Linked DNA regions of Mus musculus: regions 1, 2, 3, 5, 6 and 7 are each reported to be linked to region 4. Evidence: microRNA targets listed by miRTarBase, many of them from high-throughput screens and not tested one by one. Region 4 holds a microRNA gene; each other region holds the end of a gene's coding sequence.
What was found. Region 4 holds the annotated microRNA mmu-miR-466p-3p (AUACAUACACGCACACAUAAGA, at 990-1,011, shown strand). A microRNA usually pairs through its seed, bases 2 to 8, with sites in the 3' UTR of a target mRNA and lowers its output. Matches are read on the target gene's strand: a 7mer-m8 pairs with bases 2 to 8, a 7mer-A1 pairs with bases 2 to 7 and ends in A, and an 8mer does both.

Region 1 (3,082 bases), not on the chromosome of region 4:
CACCTTAAAAATATCTTTCTCTCTCTAAATATATCTACTCTAGCTTGTGTAGCACCGATGTGAGCCACCAGATCCAACTGGGGAAACTGGAGTAGAGGGTGGCAGTCGGACCCCTCTGAACCAACAGAGGTTGCTGGCCTGTGCCTGGACTCAATGCAGTGTCTCTTGGGGACACATCAAGGCCCTCACCCCTGCTGCTCTGTCTAGCTGTCCAACCATAAGAGAGTGGGGCAGCTGGAGAGCAGAGCCAGCCCAAGGCATGTGGAGGCCAGGCACCCAGGCCCAGCTTGGAATGGCCCAGGCACTCCTGAGTCCAGGTGCAAAGGGAAAGACCAGGCAGGAAGGGGGATGGGGCCCATGGCAGGACGGCAGTACCAAGAGTGTTAGGGCCAGGCTGGCTGGAGTAGTGCTTGCCCACCTCCCTGGGCCCTAGGCCTGTAGAGGGTGGCTCTGAGCATCCACCACCCAGTGTGCAGTTGGCTCCAACCCCAAGCCATATTGAGGCTGAAACGGAACCCTTTGCAGGATACCACAGAGATGGATGGCTCTAGAAGACCAAGGACAAGCAGATGTCAGAGCCCAGTCCAGAAGTAGCAGGGAAATGAGGCCTGGCCCTGATGGCTGTGCCGAGAAGATGCGTGGTAAGAACAGCTAGGGCAGTTCGCATGTAAACAGAAATGCTAAAGTGCTTGCGAACAAACACCCTGGGAAGCTGCTCCAGGCCACCTCACCTCCTACCTGACACCCACATGGGCAAGGTGGCCTGTAGGACAAAGTGAGGCTGGCCTATTCTGAGGGAGCCTGGGGACGTGGGGCTGGATAGTGAAGGCATTGAGCCTAGAAGCTGTGCGTGTTCCAGGCAGAGCTGGAAGAACTGGGGGCTTCCATCTGAAGCCTACAACCAGGGAAGACTTTAGGGGAAACTGAGGCTCCCACCCAGGCACAGCCTGGAGGCATCAGAAGGAAGAGAGGGGTATATCCATGGGTAAAACCCCAGGCAACAACAGGGGCTTCTGAGAAACGGCTATATCCAGGCTCTGACCCTAGTATCAGCCCAGGGAATGAGCCAAAGAGTTGGGGTGGGAGTCTGACCAGAATTCATGGCCCAGGGTGTCTAGGCTCATGACTACCACAGAGGAGTTGCTCCCTGAGTCCTTGTACCTGCCCCATAGCTAATAAAGGTGCAGCTCTAATCTGACCTCCACCCTGTCCCATCGGCTCCCTAGCTTGGAGTGTGAGGGACCACAAGACTAGCAGCCCATGGATGTGGGGTGTGCTGTCCCCAGCACTGATAATGGTCCTGGCCACAGTTAGCTGTCCCTTAAAATCCATTATAATCTTTAGTACCATCAAAAAGGTGAACTTGAAAAGGGAGTAGGCCGCTTGCTTGCTTTTCCAATGACTAATTAAAAAAAAAACATTTAAAAAAAGGGTCTAACCACCTCTAGTATTCAACACTTGCAGTTTGAAAAGATCAACTCAGACTAAACGCTAGCACAGTCATGCAGGTCCACAGCTCTGCACCCAAAGCTCGGGGCACGGAATCGTGGGCAGCGGCTTCTTCCATCTGGGGGAAGTAGAGGCCACATCAGATGGCAGCTCCAGGGCCCTTGGTTTTGCTCTCTTCCACCTGGGTTCCTCCTGAATTGCCTTTCCGTGTCTCTTCCCTCAAATAATTGTACAGCACCCCATTGGGGCCAGGGCCACACACACATATATATATATACACATACATACATATATATATGTACAGGGTCCATTAAAAACGTACTGTTGCTCCTTGAGGGCAGAGGTGGACACAGTTGACCTCCAGTCCCTTGGGTCACTGCCCATGGTCAGCAGGGTGGCAGAAATGCCCCCCACATCCCCAGGGCAAAATACCACAGGATTTCTTGTTCCCTTAAAAGCAGTACCCAGATGTCCCACTGCAGAGGGGCCAGGACACCGTTGAGAGGCCAGACTGGAAGCCACCGGGAACATCAGGGGAGGGGAGGATAAAGGATGGTGGGACGGTGGCCTGTTATCCTCCAGAGCTCCGTGGTGGGCTGCGATAGGAGCAGGAGGCGGGGAATAAATAACGGGAACATGCACTCTGACTGGAGCCCCAGGACCAGGAGCTCCCAGAGGCACAGCCCTGAGGACAGAGAAGGGTTCGCCTAGCCATTGTCCACATGTCACTTGGAAGTGGGGTCTGCAGGCCCTCCATAGGAGGGGAGTGGGGCCTCTCTCCCCAGCAGAAGGATGTGGCACTCCAGCCTTGGCCGCGCAGAGCACGCGGTGAATCTGAGGGTGGTGGCAAGCACAGGGTGCTAGAGTAGAGGCTGGTGGGACAGCCCCAGGCTGTGACTTATGTGGCCTAGCCTTGGGTATCTCACCTCTCCCTCAGACTCTGCCTGCTGGTAGCAGCTGAAGAAGCCAAGAAATGTGAATTGGTCCAGCCCCTTGTCCTGCTGCCCTCCTTCTGGAGGGCCTGGCCTTCTATCTCGGCCCCTCAGAGGCCACCTCTCTCTCAGGAAAACCACTAGCAGCTCTTGCCAAGCAGCAAATATCCCTGGGCAGAACCAGCCACGCTGTGCTATCCTTGCCCCACGGCAGCAAGCCCCAGGCACAGAGGCGGCTCAGCAGGAACCCTTACATCCACAGCGATAAGAATTGGCCCTGCATGGCAGGGAGAGGAAGGCGAGGGCCAGGACCCAACCACAGCCCCCACACCTGGACTTGGTACAGGTGGGCCAAGGGCTGTCTCCTGGGTCCTCTGCTGCCCTCCTGCTCTGCCTCCTGCTGGGTGGGCACTTCCAGGGCTCAGCTGCTCAGGGCCATTGTGTCCACCACCTGCTCCAGTTTGCTTCGAAGCCGCTGCCTTCGAGCCTGTTCATCTTTCTCCAGAGCCACCAGAATCTGCAAGGGTGGGGTGAGGGGTGGGATAGGGTCAGAGTCAGGGTTAGCTACCCACAGATATGGGCTGGAAGCTCTAAGGGAAGCAGCTGGACCAAGACACATGACCTTGGTGTGTCTGACTCCCAGTTCCTAGCTGTGCCAACAGTTCTGATCCAGAGTACTACAGCACTTGAGGGTGAGCCCC
Region 2 (3,082 bases), not on the chromosome of region 4:
ATAGAAGTGATAATATTCCCAGGAAAAAGACAGACTCCCTTTCCATTAACAAGAGAATATATCATTCTGAGCCTGAGGAGGGAGATATTCCTTATGGAGTTCCTCAGGATTCTACAAGAGCAAGTCAAGGAACATCTACATGCTTGCAAGAGTCACTTGGGGAATGTTTTTCTGAAAAAGACCCTAGGGAGCTACCAGGGTTGGAGTCTAGGCAAGAGGAGCCTATCTCTGATCCTGTCTTTCTTGGTAAGGATCATGAGGCAAACTTACCATGTGAAAGTCATCAAAAGAGATTCCGTAGAGATGCCAAACTATTCAAGTGTGAAGAATGTTCTAGGATGTTCAAACATGCCAGGAGCCTTTCGTCCCACCAGAGAACTCACCTGAATAAGAAGAGTGAATTGCTTTGTGTCACCTGTCAGAAAATGTTCAAACGAGTCTCTGACCGCCGAACCCATGAGATCATACACATGCCAGAAAAGCCTTTCAAGTGCAGCACATGTGAAAAGTCCTTCAGCCACAAGACCAACCTGAAGTCTCATGAGATGATTCACACAGGAGAAATGCCTTATGTCTGTTCCCTATGTAGCCGTCGCTTTCGCCAATCATCCACTTACCATCGTCACCTGAGGAATTACCACAGATCTGACTGAAGTATCTAACATCCTCAGCAGAGACTGGTAGGGCTTCAGCCTCAGTATGTCATCTTCAAAGAGAGAAGAATGTTGCAAGTAAATTGTACTGTCCCAATAATGATATAACATGCTTGTGGATTGCCACTTTTATGTTTTGTTTTTTATTGTGTGTGTGTGTGTATGTAATTTTTTGTCTGTAATTTCCATAGTTCCACAGCATAAGTTATTAGAATACTTTGCTGTTAATTCTTGAGTTGCTTCTTGCTTTTAGACAGTGTCTTTCTGGTTGGCAGCTTTATACACCTGTCTTTCTGGCACTAGAGTTTCCAAACATTTTCTGATCTCCACTTTTATTCTCTACAGTGGTCCTGACAGAGGCCTGCCATTCCCTCTGACATTTTTTAACATGTTGGGGTTTCATCCCAAGTCTTAGGGTTGCAAGTTAAATGCATTGCCTCTTCAGACATCTCATGTCATGTCTACTGCTTACAGTTCAAGAATATTTCTCTACATTACTAGAATGACGTTCAAAGTGGAATAATAAATAAAAAAATAATCAACAATTGCTCAGAGTAGTTTGGTGGGTCCTCCCCTACCTGTTCAATTATCATTCTCCCGACATTCTGTGTAGCTCTGGTTTCAGAGCACCTATGCACTTGGTTCAAGGAGCAGGATTTATGGATACTTGTCTCACATGATGAAAAATAGCTGACAAAAGCAAGTCTTTTTCCATGAATAACTTTCAAAAAACTAATGTTAAGAATGTGAAGTGGCATAAGAGTCATGTTGAGAAACAGGATTCTGTGCAGAGTTGAAGACAACAGGCACAGGCTAATTGAGTTGTTGGGGTCTGTGTATGTGCGCTTGCAATTCCCATGAGTTATGTAAGTTCCCATATCAGGTAGAAACATTGAGGATGCATTATGACTTTGCCACGATGTTCCTGGTGATACCTTTCAGCAGGCAATTAGAAGGCTTCAGTTTTAAAAGTACACAATGATCAGTATCCATAATCAGCTTCCAAATGCTGACACCATTTCATACACTAGCAAGATTTTGCTGAAATGACCCAGATATAGCTGTCTCTTTTGAGACTATGCTGGGGCCTAGCAAACACAGAAGTGGATGCTCACAGTCAACTAGTGGATGGATCACAGTGCTCCCAAGGGAGGAGCTAGAGAAAGGACCCAAGGAGCTAAAGGGATCTGCAACCCTATAGGTGGAACAACATTATGAAATAACCAGTACCCCGGAGCTCTTGACTCTAGCTACATATGTATTTAAAGATGGCCTAGTCGGCCATCACTGGAAAGAGAGGCTCATTGGACATGCAAACTTTATATGCCCCAGTACAGGGAAACGCCAGGGCCAAAAAAACAAAAAGAAAATGGGAATGGGTGGGTAGGGAAGTGGGGGGGAGTGTATGGGGGACTTTTGGGATAGCAATGGAAATGTAGTTGAGGAAAATATATCATAATAGATATATATTAAAAAAAGTACACAATGGCCTTAGCTGACATGAATACCAACACAAGTTATACATTTCCCCACCTAGGATTTTATTGCTGGCATTGCTTGTTCTGGACCGAGTCACCAGCATTTGGTTCTCTAACCCTTTTGATTTGCCTCGTTTTCCGGTCTTTATTTTTCTAGTGAAGTTGGATAATTTTGTTCCTCATTGTTTCAACATTAACGTTTAATGGATTTGAGTTTTTGGTTTAGTTTAGCTTTCTATATTTTGAGATTATAGCCTTTGCAGGATTTCAGAGGTTTGGATTAGCTTCAGTGCCATATTCAAATAAGGTTGCATCCTAAGGTTAGGGATTAAGCCTTGTACAGGTAAGCATCATAGGTAGAATTCAGATGATAACACTGTGCTATCCAGATATGGAGAATCCCTGCAATCCTTGTACCTGGCATCTGTCAGCAGGAACACTAGAATCCAATCATTCTCTGTTAAAAGACTCACAACATATCTTTCCTAAAAACAAAATGATAAAATAAATAAGTAGCCTACCATCATCACCACCACCTAAAACAGGAAAAACAAACAAACAAACAACACAAATACCAAAAACAAAAAAAACCAAACAAACAAACAAAAAAAAACCCTCAAAACACCATCTCACACAAACCTGAGAAAATGGTGTTACAATACCTTAATTCCAGCAGTGTATAAAGGCAGAGGCAGGTACTTAGGCCTGGGCAGGGCAGGTGCCTATACATAGGCATAGGCAGGGGCAGTGGCATATCTCTGATTCTGTGGCCAACTTTCAATAACAGGTTTCTGAACCTATGTGAGGAAACCTCATTGTGGCTAGATGACATGCTCATAAGGTTTAATGTCAGATATTTACATTACATTTCATAAAATTTGCACAATTATAGTTATCAAGTAGCAACAAACATGTCTTTGTGGTTGGGATTCATCCCAGCATGAGGAACTG
Region 3 (3,082 bases), not on the chromosome of region 4:
TATCCCCTTAATCAAATCCAGTTAAAGTTTCTATATGCCCTTTTTGTTGTTGTTCATTTTTACTCCTTGAAGTGAGTCTGGCTGGCTGGGGCTTCGGACTGTTGGGAGAGCTCCCTACCTCTATGCCATATCCTCACCCATGAGTGATTTTAAACATCCACTCTGTGCTAGATACCCTGAGAAGGGACTTTTTTTTTAAAGTTACTCTGTTGGGAGGCCATGTTCATCACAAGACTGGATTTGATGATCATTTTCTTGTAAATAAACCTTAAATCATTAAGCATTAGCAACAATCAGACACTTCCATATATTCGAACTCAGTAATAACTTCATAGGCAAAACTTCTCAGATGTACAATATAAGCCCATGGAAGAGAGCCCACATGGTGGTGTGCCCGCCCTTGAACCCCAGCACTTGGGAGGCTGAGGCTGGCATGTCTCTGTGAGCTCCAGGCCTGCCAGGTCTACTTAGTAAAACTTTATCTAAAACAAGAAAGAAAAGAACAAGAAAGGCCAATATGGTTAAAATATTTTCCCTCCTGAAAGAGATCTTACTGCAAACAAATTGCTAAAACCCCTTTGTCAATTTAAAACAGAAGCACCTGTCGGCAGTGAGTGACGCTGGCGGTGACGCTGGCGGTGGTGGCACACTCTGGGATCCCTCTGTGTAAGAAGCTGAAGCAGGAGGACCTCAAGTTCCAACTCCCTGCTGGGCCACAACCAAGCCTGCTTCAAAAACACCTAAAAGAGCTTTGTGAGTTTGTTTGAGGCTAGCCTGGGCTACATGGTGAGTTCCATGCCAGCTTGGGTCTTCAAAATCAAACTTTTTGACACACATGGTAGCACACCGCTGCATCCTAACACAGGTCTGAAGCAACAGACAGGAGCTGAAGGCCAGTCAGATCTACTTAGGCTCCGCATCACAATAAATAAATAATAAATAAATTACAATTATTCAAAACCCATTAAAAGAACGTGTACACTTAGCATTTAGGCTGTGAGCTCTTACAAGACAATAGGTAAGCAAGCTGTAATTAAGAGGAAGAGCTTCCATCTTTCAACTCCTAGCCCCTCTTCCCTCCAGACCTCTACCCCCACTCCCAACAAAAATGAGTCTATACTGTCTCCAGGCAGCCCGCCCTTGACAGATGGAGAGAGGGAGGTCGGCCTTTTATATGCAACAGAAAGGGAATGCTGAGTAGGGAGATGATAAAATTAAGTCTCACCTTCCAGATAACTTAGAAACAGAAGGACCCTGCAAGTGCTTAGGAAAAGATAGCATTCTTCTCCCATGAACAAGCAAGCTACGTTCCACTCTAACAGTCATCGAGGCTAATGATTTAAGAATACTTGGCATTTTAACCTTTAAAGTCTAACATACAATTTCAAAGATATAACAGTGTGTTCCTGCTTTGATAAATGAGTAATGGGTCACGGCCCAACTTTGGTTTTAATTTTAGATCCTCAAAGCTTTCTTACAGTTGGGACATAAACGGGGGACAATGGAGGTAATCAATAAATAAATACTACACTAATTTTCTGGCCAAAGAAGAGGAAGGAGCATACTCGATGCTGTGCAGAAAGATTGTATCACCTAGTTACAATGGAGTCTCTCAGTCTGTGTACGTAAACTCCACAAGAGGCAGGCTGGGAAAGCACCGGCCGTCAGGCTCCTTGGCATATCACAAGACTGTACATACAAATGCAAAGTTTTGCTAAAAAAAAAAAATTTGGAAAAATTAGAAATTGGGCTTCTTATAAATATATTTAACATTTTAAAATCATTAGTTCCAAAAAAATCATTAGTTCCATAAATCAGTTTAAGCAATTATTTCTATCAGACATTTTCTAATGGACAGAACTTCCAATCTGTGTCCACTCCACCAGCTGATAATACGCTCAACAAAACACTCAAACATAGTGCTAATAAACCCAGAAGTCAGAAAAACTCTGATAAAATTGCCAGGATATCTTTTATACATTCTACTTCACTTTATTGTTTATATAAAATCAGAAATTTGGGGTGTTTCTGGCTACTGGAGTAAAACACACTACAAACCAAAGGGAACAAAGGTTGGTGGAAGAAACACCTGATTGCCGCCTACAAGAGGGCCTTTCTCTCCCCCATGTCCACTGTGGTAGCAGTAGCATCTGCTCCCAGGAGGTCCCTTGACTACAGCATGTAAGAACCTCCTAATTTCATAGCTTAAGTCATTTAACAGACTCAAGGTTTAGGTTGGCCTCTTATTATCTAGGATCTAGGCTTAAATTCCAAAAATGAAGGAGAAAGTAACACAGTGGAACAAAAGATACCAAGAGGGACTGACAAAATGTTTCCGGTGCGGAGGAGCCCGGAGCTGCCCACCCAGCGCAGCTCCAAGCACGTTCAAAGCACGCAGCAGCTGACAGCATCTGAGGCTGCCAAGGCTGCTCCTTCCTCGGAGCTCTGAACGCTCACGCTGGATTTCCAGACGTGCTTGCCTGTGACAGTCTCCCCCTTACTCGTGGGAATACCAAAGCTGCTTGGGAGAGAGATGGCTCTTGTCATAATAAAGGGCTCATGTCCCATTTGTGCTATTCCAAGGATGATTAAAAAAATAAGAAATCTGCAATTCATATAAAAAGGAAAACTGGCTTAAAATTCAAAAGCAAATCCCGTGAGGTGAGGTATGTACGGCATTAAATAATCGAGGCGGAGTCTTTTTTGAAGATTCCTGATGAGCCTGACAGTAGAGAGCTCTGGTTCTCCAGCATTTTCTCCATCTTCTCCCCTCCGGCGTTCTTACTGATCTTTCTTTGCTTCTTGCTATGGATCCACGGGATTAAACAGAGCACAACACCCCCAACGAAGGGAGGGATTCCAGCAAGGTAAAAGGCCACGTCGTAGGTGCCCAGCTTGTCATGAAGTAACCCTGGAAGAGCAGACAGCAGCCGTCAGACAGAGGAACAAGTCTGGCTCCCAGATCAGTCACACTGATCGCAGGCTCAGATCACAGATTTGAAATGTAAACGTTTTCTGATATGAGGAAGGAAAAAAAAAATCCTCTGATTTTAAATTTTACTGCAGAATACAGGTCATACCA
Region 4 (3,082 bases):
TGTGTTTGTGTTTATGTGTATAGGGAAGTATGCCTGTACATGCGCGTATATGAACATGCATATATATATATATATATATATATATATATATATATATATATATATATACACCCACACAACTAGGGACACATTCATGTGCACACAAACACACATGGCAGTCATCCATTTGATTTATACGTGCTTAGAGTTTCATTGAGTGTATATTCATGGTATAGGGAATAATGTCACTTATCAGATGAAAACCACTTGCCAGAGTTAAAAGTCTCAGGAGTTCAAATTCATGCTAACTTCATAATGAGTTAGAGATCACCCTGTATTTGTGTGATGGATCCTAGGTATGCACAAGTGCATATAATTGTGTGTGCACGTACATGTGTGTATATGATCATACATATAAATACACACACATACAAATGTATTCACACACACAGGCATGCACACTCACACACATAAGAATGACACTCATTGATCCATTTGAATGATTTATGTCTTAGAATTTTGCTGATTATAAAGTAGAGGGACAGTGAATATTCTCACTCACCAGGTGTAAACAATTGTCAGTGTCAGGAGGATCAGGAGTTCAATTTCATGCTTAACTTCATGAGCAGTTAGAGATCATCCTGGAATAATGTGATGGCCCCTATGTATGTGCCTGTGTGCGTAAGTGCCTGCATGTATATGCGTGTATATTTTATGCATATACATACACACACCTACACACACATGCACACAGACATGCGGGAATGGCCCTCACGGATCCATTTGAATGAAATGTGACCTACTGCTTTGGAGGTTATGTATGACTGGGCCAGGGTGAGGTCTCACAAACCACAGGAAAACCCTTGGTAGATTCGAGAAGATCAGGAGTGCAAGTTCATGGTAAAGGCATGATGAGTTAGAGGTCATCCTGGCATTCATGTGATTGCCCCTATGTATGTGTGTATGTGTTGATGTGTGTGTACATGTACATGTGTGAATATGATATACATATACATACACGCACACATAAGACACATATGAGCACACAGACACATGGGAATGGCACTCATCAATCCATTTGAGTGATAAGTGACTTAGAGTGAAAATGCTTGCTAGAGTTAAGAGTATCAGGAGTTCAAATTCATACTTATCCTCATGAGAGATCAGCCTGTGATTCCTCCATGTATGTGCATGTGTGTATAGTTGTGTGTGCATGTTCATGTCTATATTTGAATATACATAACATACACACACACGTATAAACGCAAGCACACATACACAGACACAGGAATGGCATTCGCCAATCCCTTTGAATGATAAGTGATGTAGAGTTTTAGAGATTATGCAATAGGGGGCATTGAATGTCCTCACTCACCAGGTGTAAACGATTGACAAAGTCAGGAGGATAAGGATTGCAAATTCATGCTTAACTTCATTTGGAGACATCTTGGTATTAATGTCATGCAACCCATGTATGTGCATGTGTGCTTACTTGTATGTGCATTGTATGTGTTGACATGATATACATAACATAAACACACGTGTATATGCAAGCACACACACACAGGAAAAAATTGCATTCATTTATACGTTTGAATGATACGTGACTTAAAGTTTTCAAGATTATGCAGTAGTGGGACAGTGAATGGTTTTACTCACCAGGTGTGAAAGATTGTGGATCAGGAGTTCTAATTCATGCTTTACTTCATGATGACTTAGAGATATGCCTGGGATTCATGTGATGCCCCCTATGTATCCCTATCTGTATCTGTTTCTATTGTGTGTGGATTTGAGTATATGGATGTACCTATCTACACAAATATATACATGTACACAGACACAAACAGTAACACACACACAAACATGAATGCAACTCATCGATCCATTTGAATGATATGTGACTTAGAGTTTTAAGATTCCTCATTACTGAATGGGGAGAGGTCTCACTCAGCAGGAGAAATCCCTTGACAGAGTCAGGTGGATCAGGAGTTCAAATTCGTGCTGAATTTTGTGATGAGTTCATGATCAGCATGGGATTCATCTTATGCCCACCAAAAATGTGCATGTGTGTATAGTTGTGTGCATATTCACTTCTCTATATGAATATGCATATACACACATGCACACACATTCATAGGAATGGCCAGAGCTATGTCTCAGTTAGGAGGTGAGCACTCTTGTCAGTGTCAGGATGAGGAATTCAAATTTATGTTTAACTTCATGATGAGTTAGAGTTCAGCATGCGATTCATGTGATGCCCACCAAGAATGTGCATGTGTGTATAGTTGAGTACATATTCACTTCTGTACATGAATATGCATATACTCACATGCAAACATACTCCCACGAATGGCCCGAGCTATGACTTAGTTAGGAGGTGAATACTCTTGCCAGCATCATGAGGATGAGCAATTCAAATTCATGTTTAACTTTATGATGAGTTAGAGATCAGCCCGGAATTCATGTGATTTTCCCTGTGTTTGTGTTTATGTGTATAGGTGAAGTGTGCGTGTACATGCGCGTATATGAACATGCATATATATATATATATATATGTATATATATATATATATATATATATACACACACACACACACACACACACAACTAGGGAAACATACATGTGCACACAAACACACATGGCAGTCATCCTTTTGATTTATACGTGCTTAGAGTTTCATTGAGTGTATATTCATGGTATAGGGAAAAATCTCTCTTATCAGATGAAAACCACTTGCCAGAGTTAGGAGTCTCAGGAGTTCAAATTCATGCTTAACTTCATAATGAGTGAGAGATCACCCTGTTTTTGTGTGATGGACCCTAGGTATGCACAAGTGCATATAATTTTGTGTGCACGTACATGTGTTTATATGATCATACATATAAATACACACACATACAAATGTAGTCACACACACAGGCATGCACACTCACACAAATAAGAATGACACTCATTGATCCATTTGAATGATATATGTCTTAGAATTTTGCTGATTATAAAGTAGGACAGTGAAGGTCTCACTCACCAGGTGTAAACAATTGACAGTGTCAGGAGGATCAGGAGTTCAATTTCATGCTTAACTTCATGAGCAGTTAGAGATCA
Region 5 (3,082 bases), not on the chromosome of region 4:
TTTAAAGAAAGCTTTATTTACCACATACATCTTAAGAATGTACTGTATGTAAATGCAGCGAGATCTAAAAAGCTTTTCAAATACGAAGCTAAAAACTAAACTAGTAGCATGACTAAAACCCAAACACTAAAACTTTTAAAAACATTTATATTAGTTTGTTCTTAATCCTAAAAAAAAAAAAAAGTTCACATTTCAAGTTATAAACTTACCTCAGTAGTGTACGTGAAATGGTTGAGAAACAAGAGGGACAGCTAAGGCCACAGACTGCAGAGACACTGGTGCTTAACTGGCTGCCACCAACGCCTGCCGTTAAGGTAGTCGCCACGTTAAGTTAGTGCATAGTTTTTCCTTTTTTTTAAATTATTAATATTATTTTTGAAAATATTTCCCCAGGCACTTGTAAAATACAGTAAGAACATGGGCATCCGGGCTCATCCGAAGACCTCCATGTCAGTCCGTGGCCGGCAGGAAGGCACTTTTTCCTCACCAGTCAAGGGATGAGGACCTGATACCTTTAAGGAGGTCACTCATTCCAACAGGCCCGTGTGGCTGCAGCTTCCCGAGTGACGCCTCTCACTCTCCCAGCTGCTCTATACCACGCAATAAGGAAGGAGGGATGCTTAAAGGTCTTAGCAGGCACTCGATAATTCTATAGAATAGTTAAATAAATATTTCTTATATATATAAAATCCATCCCGTCAAGATAAAGTGGGGGGGAGGCAGAAAAAAAAAAGACAATTGGGACTCTCTTAATTTAAAAGCAGAAAGCGTTTGCTGAGGGCAAGATCCTACTATTAGTCCACAAATAAGAGTTAAGCCTATTAGCAAAACTCTGATGGGAAGGGAGATTGGATGGACTCTGTCATGCCATGAAACACAACTGTGCATCTGCTACCCTTATTGCACACCTCACATCCTGGACTGAGCCTTCTTAAAAAGATGTAAGTTGATATAATTCATAAAAGAGATGACGATATTATCTTTTCTACTGTATTTTACATTCACTCTGCCAAAGAAAAGCCTTAAAACAGGCACAAAACCCAGCATCTGTGCATTTACTTCCAAAAAAGAAAAAAAAAAAAAAAAGGCAAACACTTTGAATAACATTGAAATAAAATGGCTGCATTTCGCATTACACTACAGGCCATGAACTTGGCAACTTTGGCGAGCAAGCGTCAGAAGTTATTTACAATCTACCCTTAAACTCCTACAGAGACTTCTCCTGGATGTGTATGCCCGTGTTCACCTGCCCGTGTTCACCTACCAAATGCAGAGCAACGGCGGGAAGCCCTGCTAAACAAACACAGGGCTTCCGACATCCCTGATGGCACCAGGCATTCTGTAGGAAACACAGGAGAAAGAAAGGCAGCGAGAAGCTTAACTTCCCACTGACAAGTCTTGTCTATAATCACATACATTCTTGGTCTCTAAAAACCCAGACTTCAAAAAAAAAAAGTCAAAGAATTAGAAAGGTCAGGTTTCATACTGAACAATTAAATAGCTATGCAGAGATGCCTTAGGCAAAGATGGTAAAATCTTGTCCTTAATGTGTATTCTGCTACTGAAGATACACATAGAACAAACCAAATATAATTAACAAAGATAATTAAAAAGACGCCCTAAACAAACCAAAAATAATTAAAAAGACCCCAACACAATCCCAGGAAGAAGTATAAAAGGCATCAGTTGTCTTCTCTATTGGAATTATCCATTTTTCTTAGATATGCCAAAGTTGCACTGGAGCTAGGGAAGGAGAAGGGCGGGGCGGGGCACGGCGGGGCGGGGGCGGGGCACAGTTACTAAGGACTCAGGAGAGAGAGCCCAAGGTAGTGAGGGCAGGTCAGAGCTTTCCAGTGTTGGGACTCTGGATGTGAGGAGTCTTTTCCATGTTGGCTTAAGAACAGAGTGTTATTAAAAACAAAACAAAACAACAACAACAACAAAAACCCCAAACCAAACCAAAACCCCATAAACCCAGAAAACATGACAAGAATAAATGGCATTATCGTCAACCCTTAATGCCAGTGGAAATACAGTAGAGACTTTTTTTTTCCTCATTTTAAAATTGCACTTTCCAGCATCACTTTAAAAAATAAAATAATGTTTTATGTAGTATTTCAGAGCACTACAGTTTGTGTCTTTAAATATTGAATATAGTTTTCAAAATAGTTCCCTAGATGCGCGGGTGTGCTTTTTTTTTTTTTTTTTTTTGATATACATACATATAGCTGATATACTTTGAAAGGTTCTACAAAATAGAAAACTCTGGAGTGCAGAAGTTAAGAAAATAACCTTCATACTGAAAATATATCCTTAAAAAACAAAAAACCAAACCTCTGTACAAAAGCAGAAGAGCATACAAACTTTAAGAGATGGCATTAAGGCGTGAGGCGTCGCAAGTCTTTTAGAAATGTATGAACGCGGGCCTGCTAAGTTGAAAAGTCATTTTCAAAAAAAAAAAAAAAAAAAAAAAAAGCGAGTGAAAACTTCATGGATATAATAAAATATTTCAGTGTGCTATTTGATAACATTCTTCTTCACCTGCAGGTTTTGCACGTGTACCAACCCGACACGTTCTTTCTTCATAAATAATAAAGTGTTCCTTCAGCGGGGTTTGGTGGCTTGCCTTGGCTCCGGTCCCCCGTTCTCAGTAAGTCTGGTAGACGTCGTGGATGGGCACCTGGAGAGCAGCGGGGAAGGCCTGAGGTATGTAGCCGGCGTAGCCCCCATACACGGCAGCCGCGGCGTTCTTCTGTAGTGTGGCGATTGTGGCAGTGGCGGGAGCAGCAAAGGGGACGTAGCTGGCCCCGTAGATGCCGGCGGTGGGGATTCTCTGAACATTTGGTGCCACGGTGTACACAGGAGTTATTGGACGGCCCTGAGAGACAAACAGACAAGACTGAAGTCCTTCCTGAGCAGGTTCGTCATCTATTAGAATAATAAGCACCCCAGTGGGGAGGGAAAGAAGACATCAAGGTAGGGAGGCAGGTGAGTGACAGTACAGAAGAAAGAGATTAGTCAGAGCAAATAGCCATCCTTGAAGGGCTTGATGCGCTCAAACTTAGTAGTGTTCAGACTCCTG
Region 6 (3,082 bases), not on the chromosome of region 4:
ATTTTCCTCTCATATGATTATTGATCTGATAGAAGGAAGATATTTGGCAGATGTTTTGTCTCAGATGGCCTGGCAATGCTGGGCTAACAAGGAGGAAGTAGCCTGGGAGCATCCTGGCTCTGGGAGCACCATCAGCCTCTGGAAGCTATGGGAGTGTACATGGACCCACCCTCACACACAGTCTTCCCCGTCCCTTTCAAGCCTGCTGTCTGAGGACCACCTGTGGGAGACTAAAGAGTCTGAGCAGGCCCTGTAGTGGGCTTAGGGGGTCCCCAGTGACTCAGGGAAAAGCTTCTCCTGGCCATGCCCCTTAACAGTGGTGACAGGGACTGCACCACTGTGCACAACTTTACTCTGAGAAGATGCACAGTACGCCCCAGAGATTTTAAAGATGGCTCAAGTGTGTGAGCGGCCAATCCACAGAGTCCATGAAACTCTCATCAAGATCACAGGCCCCAGCTGGAGAGATGGCTCAGCGGTTAAGAGCACTGACTGCTCTTCTGAAGGTCGAGTTCAAATCCCAGAAACCACGCAGTGGCTCACAACCATCTGTAATGAGATCTGACGCCCTCTTCTGGTTTATCTGAAGACAGCTACAGTGTACTTACATATAATTAATAAATCTTTGGGCTGGAGCGAGCAGGGCCGGAACGAGCAGAAATCCTAAGTTCAATTCCCAGCAATCACACGATGGCTCACAACCATCTACAGTGTACTCATATACATAAAATAAGTAAATCTTTTTTTTATTAGGTATTTAGCTCATTTACATTTCCAATGCTATACCAAAAGTCCCCCATACCCAAGTAAATCTTTTTTAAAAATTAAAAAACATCACAGGCCCTTCAGGGAAGTGAGGGACGAAATGAAATCTGGAATAAACACAAAGTGAGGAAGCCCCAAGTGAGGATGCTGTGCCTCCTGGAACAGGGCAGATAGTGCCCCCTCAGGCTTGGAGTCATCATAACAATGTGGCTGGACTCAGAGACAGCTGCTGACCAACCCACAGATTTAGGGCAGCTGAGCAACAGGCTGGGAATGTGGCAGAGCCTTGCCAAGCCTGACAAGATCCTGGATTCCATGCCCAGAGCTGCAAGGTCAAACCAAACCAAAAACAAAAACAAAAAAAAAAAACAAAAAAACCCCCCAAAAAACCAAAAAAACCAAAAACCCCACCAAATTAAACCAGAAATACCAAGCAGAGAAAAAGGGAAATAGAAAAATGAAGGGCACAGAAGCAGTCATTCCTTAAGGATGCTCAAAGGCGAGGAACCAGTTAGATGGCCGAGAAGAAGGGAACAGGCTGGCATAGGTGTATATGCGGGTACACCCAGCAGAGGGGTCAGGAAACCCTATCTAGGTTCAAGGTCCCTGGCTACCTGCTGGGAAGACTCTCGTGATCCAGATTTGCACAGACATTTGCATGTTGCTTTGAACTAGACTTCAGGTCACCAGAATTCCATGTTCCAGGCCTTGAGCAGAACTACCATGCCTCTAACAGCCAATAGGGGAGCCCCAGTGGCAGGACTACGGTGGCCTGCAGGATGTCAGTGGGATGGCAAGGCTGACAACCAGAGTTCCATCTCTGGGGACAAAATAATAAACGAGAGAGACATCTCCCCCCAGCTGACCACCCCACCCCCCGCAGTGGGAAATGTGTACCCACACATGACACACACCAAATAAAATCCTTTTTTTTTTTGGTTTTTCGAGACAGGGTTTCTCTGTGTAGCCCTGGCTGTCCTGGAACTCACTTTGTAGACCAGGCTGGCCTCGAACTCAGAAATCCGCCTGCCTCTGCCTCCCAAGTGCTGGGACTAAAGGCGTGTGCCACCACTGCCCTGCTCCAAATAAAATAAAGGTCATCTAAAACAATTACAAACAGCAACACAGATGGGGGACACTCCTGACTCTCTGGCCCCAGGAGACAAGGTCTGTGGGCTGTCCCGTGGTGTCTGCAGCCAACAGCTTAAGAAAGGCGAGGGCACAAGGTGTCCTTTTGGGCTTGCTGGTCTGCAGGCGCCTCCTCCTAGGAGAACAGGCTTCAGTGTTCTGGCACGTTCCTCCCACTTCAGGGAGACAAGGCAATCTGCCCAGACTCTACAGCTAGAAACCCAAAGAAGCACAAGAGCGTCCATGTTTCTTCTCTTAGAACGCCTGATTCTGCTTACAACAGAGTCCGCATAGATTTCTAATCAGAGTAAGGGCTGACAGGCACTTCCTTGGTACTTGGTCCACTCACAGAGTGAAGCTGTAGTGTGGGCTGAGGCCCTCCAGGGCAACAGGACCAGCAGAGATCCACTGTGGAGGTAAAAAGGCCAGCTTAGGAAGTTTGGGAAGGTCATGAAACACTTGCCCCTCCAGAAGGAAGAGGCTAATTAACATTTCTCAGACCTTAGGGCAGAACTGCCCTGTGGGTGGGGACACATCCTGCAGGACACCTTCAGACAAGGGACGTCCTTGTCACTTCATTCCCTAAAGACCAATCAGTTTAAAGGGTGCACTGCTCCGCCAATCACGTTGTGCCTAGTTGCTGATGCTCTCTTCTGCCCCTGGAAACCATATAAAAACTCCCTGAATGGGTGCTGGGGGTCGCCGCCTCTCCTTCGGGTCTGGGAAGACCCCAGTGCACTGGAACAAAAATTCCTCTTGCTTTTTGCATCTATTCCGGCTCCACGTGGTCCACTCAGGGGCTCCCTGGTAAGCAGAGGCTCCCTGGAGTCTTGCAGAGGGACGGGACTCTGTCCAACAAGTTCTCTGTCTCAAAGCTCTGTGGCATCAGTAGAGGCCCCTGCTCAGGGGTTGGAGCCTAGCTCCCGTGTAGCGGCTCAGCTCCTCCAGCACCAGCTTCTCCTGGTTGTACATCTGGAACACAGCAGAGCACAAGCTCTGGAGGGACTCTGGGGACCCTTGTCCCGAGTCCGAGTCCTCCCAGGGTTCACCTCCTTCTGAAGCCCCCCTAGCCGCTCCCCCAGGCTCTGCACAAGTCTATCAGCAGCACCTGAACAGAGACTCAGAGAGCTGTAGGTAGATGCAAGATCAAAGGACAGGACAGCAGGGAGTGGGCTCCCAAAGGAAGGGG
Region 7 (3,082 bases), not on the chromosome of region 4:
TTGGGGCTGAGTTGGGACCTGGGGGTGGCTGAGACATGCAAGGGGACCAGATGAAGAAGTGTGTTGGGGATGGGGGTGGACAGTGCTTTTCCATTTGTTCTGCATCAAAGCTCAGATTGGGGGTTGGAAGAGCTGGGGACTCATCTGCCATCTGTGTGTGTGCTTCCCTAAATGTGAATTCATCAGCCACTTGCCAATGGGGGAAAGATAGATGCTTAAGGAAAACAGCTGAGGCTCTGCTCTTGGGACATTTGGGGGAGAGGCAGTAAGGAAAATGAAATAAGTCAACCCAGAGACAAATCTGCACAGCGTAACTGGCAATAGGTGTGTCCGGTAATAGATTTGTAAACTCAATTTTGCTTCTATCTGGTATCCAGGCAGAGAATATTGCATTTTTGCCTGGGAGGTGAGTGGACTTAAAAATCTGGAAATAGCCCTGGGATACAAAAAAGAAGTCTTATCTCCCGGATGCATAGCAGAGATAGCAGATTCCTGGAAATGAGGGCTTCCTGAGCCCAATGCAGCCCACTAGGCCATCTGGCATATCTTGTGCAGGTCCCAGTCCTCCCACCCCCAGGCCTTACTGTCTTCAACTATAAAATGGAGATATCTTTATGTGCTCAAAAAACAGAGGGCCCATCACAGCAGGAGTTGAGAGGGAAGGGGAGGCTTGATGGTTCGGGCATCTTCCTGGCATTCTCATTTGGAGCCCATTCTTGATTCCACAGTGTACTCAGTGCTGATCGTACAGGCAAGGCAGAATGGGTGATTCTCCCCACACTCAAGGACCAATGACTCACTAGGTCCCTCCCTGGGGAAGCGGTCAAGATTCCTTTCAATGGAGGACCCAAGAAATGGTGGAAGTAAACCCAAAGGGAAGAAATGCCAAGGATGGCACTTCAAAGCATCTGTAGGTGACAGGAGTGGTGTAGCTATGGGTCACAGGGCTCCTGTGGGGGCTGTGACACAGATTCCAGATTGTGGATTGTAAAACTTGGAGGTAGGCAGAGAACCAGCCAGTGTGTGTGTGTGTGTGTGTGTGTGTGTGTGTGTGTGTGTGTGTGTGAGAGAGAGAGAGAGAGAGAGAGAGAGAGAGAGAGAAGAGGAGGAGGAGGAGGAGGAGGAGGAGGAGGAGGAGGAGGAAGAGGAGAAGGAGATATCCTTGGTTGGTTTGGCATGCAGAGGGAGAGTAGAAATGGTCCCACTAGGATTTGATTCGCCTGTGGTGCATTATCCAACAATTCTGGAAATATCTGGAAAATGGAGACAACAAAAAAAGCAGGTAAAACGGAATCAAACAAGAGCCATGCAGGAGGCTGCTGTGACACTACAGAATCACGTACCTTGTTTCTACCACCATGTTTGTCTACATTAACTGCTTTAGAAGGAATGGAAGAAGAGGAGGGGAAGGGAGGGTGAGGAGCACTGCCGTTTTCATAGCATCCCAGCCTACGGTGCTTCCTAGCACAGTCCTCCTAGGATGGAGGCCAAGGGATGGCTGGGCACTGGAGGCTCCAGCGGGGAACAGAGTGTGGACTGCTCTCAAACAGACATGATGTGACTGAATGCCTCCTTGCCCATTTAGTTCCAAATCTGACAAAGCATAATCAGTAGAACGAGGAGGAAAAAAAAAACCATTAAATATTTTGAAGATGAGAGAAGTAAAACTTGTACAGTCAGCACAGATTTGTCCCTACAGCACGTGTAAGGTTTGAACTACTCCATACTACTGTTTTGGGTTTTGTTTGTTTCCTCCTGTTCTCCCCCACACCCCCAACCACAGCATCTCACCATCCTGAGTCAGTATACAAACTCAAGGGTCTTCACACCAACTTCCCCTGTGCCTTCTGGGGGTACAGTTGACCTTTGGCCTCCGGGTGACAGGGCAGGGTCTCTAGGGGGGTGGGTGAAGGGTTTTCTATGAAGGGTTCCCCACCTTTAGGGGCAGCCTGCTTGGGGGTACTGCCTGCCCCACCCTTCCTTGAGGGGCAGACAGACTGTTCTGGAAGGCCACGACTTCTGGAGACAGCTGGAGACTGTTTCTGGTTTTGTGTCTCTGCAGGTTAGTGGTATATTGCTTCGTTCGCAGTTACTGTGGGGCCTCTAAGTTCTCCCAGAGAAGTCCCTGCAAATCCCACCAAGTAAGAGTGGGAGATGTTTGGTGGCATGGGTCTGAGGTAAATCTAAGTTTCATAAAAAGAAAAAAAAAAGGAGCGTCTATATACAGTTAGCATGTGTGTATGTCCAGCTCTCTAGTATATGTATATAGATGCATAAATATATATATATACACACACCTACAGACACATACGTACACATATGCGTATATATGCATGTATTTATATACATACACATATATACGTATGTAGAGAATATCGAGAGAATAATTTTCCAGTGACAATATGAGAAGCTGGTAAGCATCTGCCTCAATCTTAGGAAACACTGTCCTTGGGACTGATCTTGCTCCAGCATTCCTTGGCATGTCTGTTTGCCTACAAGAGGTCTGTGGCATTCACATGGCTGAGCGGGAGTTGCAGCTAACGCCTGGGCCTCTGCTCTCCACAGACATACACCCTCCCAGGCTGACCTTCCAGGATCTGCCCTCCAAGGCCAGGAGATCCCTGGGAAGCTAGTGGAAGCCACTAAGGCCACCCTAGGCCTTGGTGTGCTGCAGTGGGCCATGGCAGTGTCACCAGTCCTGCAGGTCACATGGTGCCAGACTTGTCCGAGGAGCTATTAGGGAACATCTTCTCCGTGGGTGTCACTGCCGGGCTGCCCACACCTGAGCTGCTGCTGCTGCTGGATCGGTGCTGAACCACAGGTCTGACCGGACGCATGGGGGGCGGACGCAGCTGGGCACCAGCCAGGCGAGCTGACAGGGCTGGCTTGAAGGTGGTCATCATCTCCGTCGATGAGCTGCTGCTTCGGCGCATAGCAGCATCAGGGTCTCGGATGACAATGGTGTGCAGGGGGCTGGCGGGCTCTGAGCTGATGGGGCCTGGTGGATTCTTCAGGGGCTCCAGGGTGTCCAGCACCACATCTGGTGCCTGCTTGACAGTGTTCTGTCTCTCAAGTTCCCGCA

Region 1: the mRNA of Plxna1 is a reported target of mmu-miR-466p-3p. Seed matches in the 3' UTR shown: 7mer-m8 at 1,731-1,737.
Region 2: the mRNA of Zscan4d is a reported target of mmu-miR-466p-3p. Seed matches in the 3' UTR shown: 8mer at 814-821.
Region 3: miRTarBase lists Slc16a10 as a target of mmu-miR-466p-3p. Seed matches in the 3' UTR shown: 7mer-m8 at 1,693-1,699.
Region 5: the mRNA of Rbm47 is a reported target of mmu-miR-466p-3p. Seed matches in the 3' UTR shown: 7mer-m8 at 2,216-2,222.
Region 6: miRTarBase lists Ybey as a target of mmu-miR-466p-3p. Seed matches in the 3' UTR shown: 7mer-A1 at 605-611.
Region 7: miRTarBase lists Srgap3 as a target of mmu-miR-466p-3p. Seed matches in the 3' UTR shown: 7mer-m8 at 2,345-2,351.

What each region holds. Positions count from the first base shown.
Region 1 is chr6:89,316,574-89,319,655 of GRCm38, forward strand. Plxna1 (plexin A1) reads right to left here. Exons shown (of 32, transcript NM_008881.2): 32 at 1-2,898. The coding sequence ends at 2,803. Among named protein-coding and RNA genes, the nearest start is that of 4930512J16Rik, 32 kb to the left of the region's middle.
Region 2 is chr7:11,159,492-11,162,573 of GRCm38, reverse strand. Zscan4d (zinc finger and SCAN domain containing 4D) reads left to right here. Exons shown (of 4, transcript NM_001100186.1): 4 at 1-931. The coding sequence ends at 653. Among named protein-coding and RNA genes, the nearest start is that of Zscan4d, 5.1 kb to the left of the region's middle.
Region 3 is chr10:40,034,494-40,037,575 of GRCm38, forward strand. Slc16a10 (solute carrier family 16 (monocarboxylic acid transporters), member 10) reads right to left here. Exons shown (of 6, transcript NM_001114332.1): 6 at 1-2,911. The coding sequence ends at 2,679. Among named protein-coding and RNA genes, the nearest start is that of Mfsd4b1, 11 kb to the left of the region's middle.
Region 4 is chr2:10,485,488-10,488,569 of GRCm38, forward strand. It overlaps Mir466b-4 (microRNA 466b-4), which reads left to right and starts at 936; the gene lies at 936-1,025. The region is part of intron 10 of Sfmbt2 (Scm-like with four mbt domains 2); the gene reads left to right. It overlaps Mir467a-4 (microRNA 467a-4), which reads left to right and starts at 648; the gene lies at 648-730. It overlaps Mir669a-7 (microRNA 669a-7), which reads left to right and starts at 1,166; the gene lies at 1,166-1,252.
Region 5 is chr5:66,016,559-66,019,640 of GRCm38, forward strand. Rbm47 (RNA binding motif protein 47) reads right to left here. Exons shown (of 8, transcript NM_001127382.2): 8 at 1-2,878. The coding sequence ends at 2,648. Among named protein-coding and RNA genes, the nearest start is that of Gm40310, 7.7 kb to the left of the region's middle.
Region 6 is chr10:76,460,455-76,463,536 of GRCm38, forward strand. Ybey (ybeY metallopeptidase) reads right to left here. Exons shown (of 5, transcript NM_172550.4): 5 at 1-2,865. The coding sequence ends at 2,779. 2610028H24Rik (RIKEN cDNA 2610028H24 gene) reads left to right here. Exons shown (of 8, transcript NM_029816.2): 8 at 33-764. Among named protein-coding and RNA genes, the nearest start is that of Mcm3ap, 6.9 kb to the right of the region's middle.
Region 7 is chr6:112,720,083-112,723,164 of GRCm38, forward strand. Srgap3 (SLIT-ROBO Rho GTPase activating protein 3) reads right to left here. Exons shown (of 22, transcript NM_080448.4): 22 at 1-3,082. The coding sequence ends at 2,706. It also overlaps the pseudogene LOC108169181. Among named protein-coding and RNA genes, the nearest start is that of Gm26799, 22 kb to the left of the region's middle.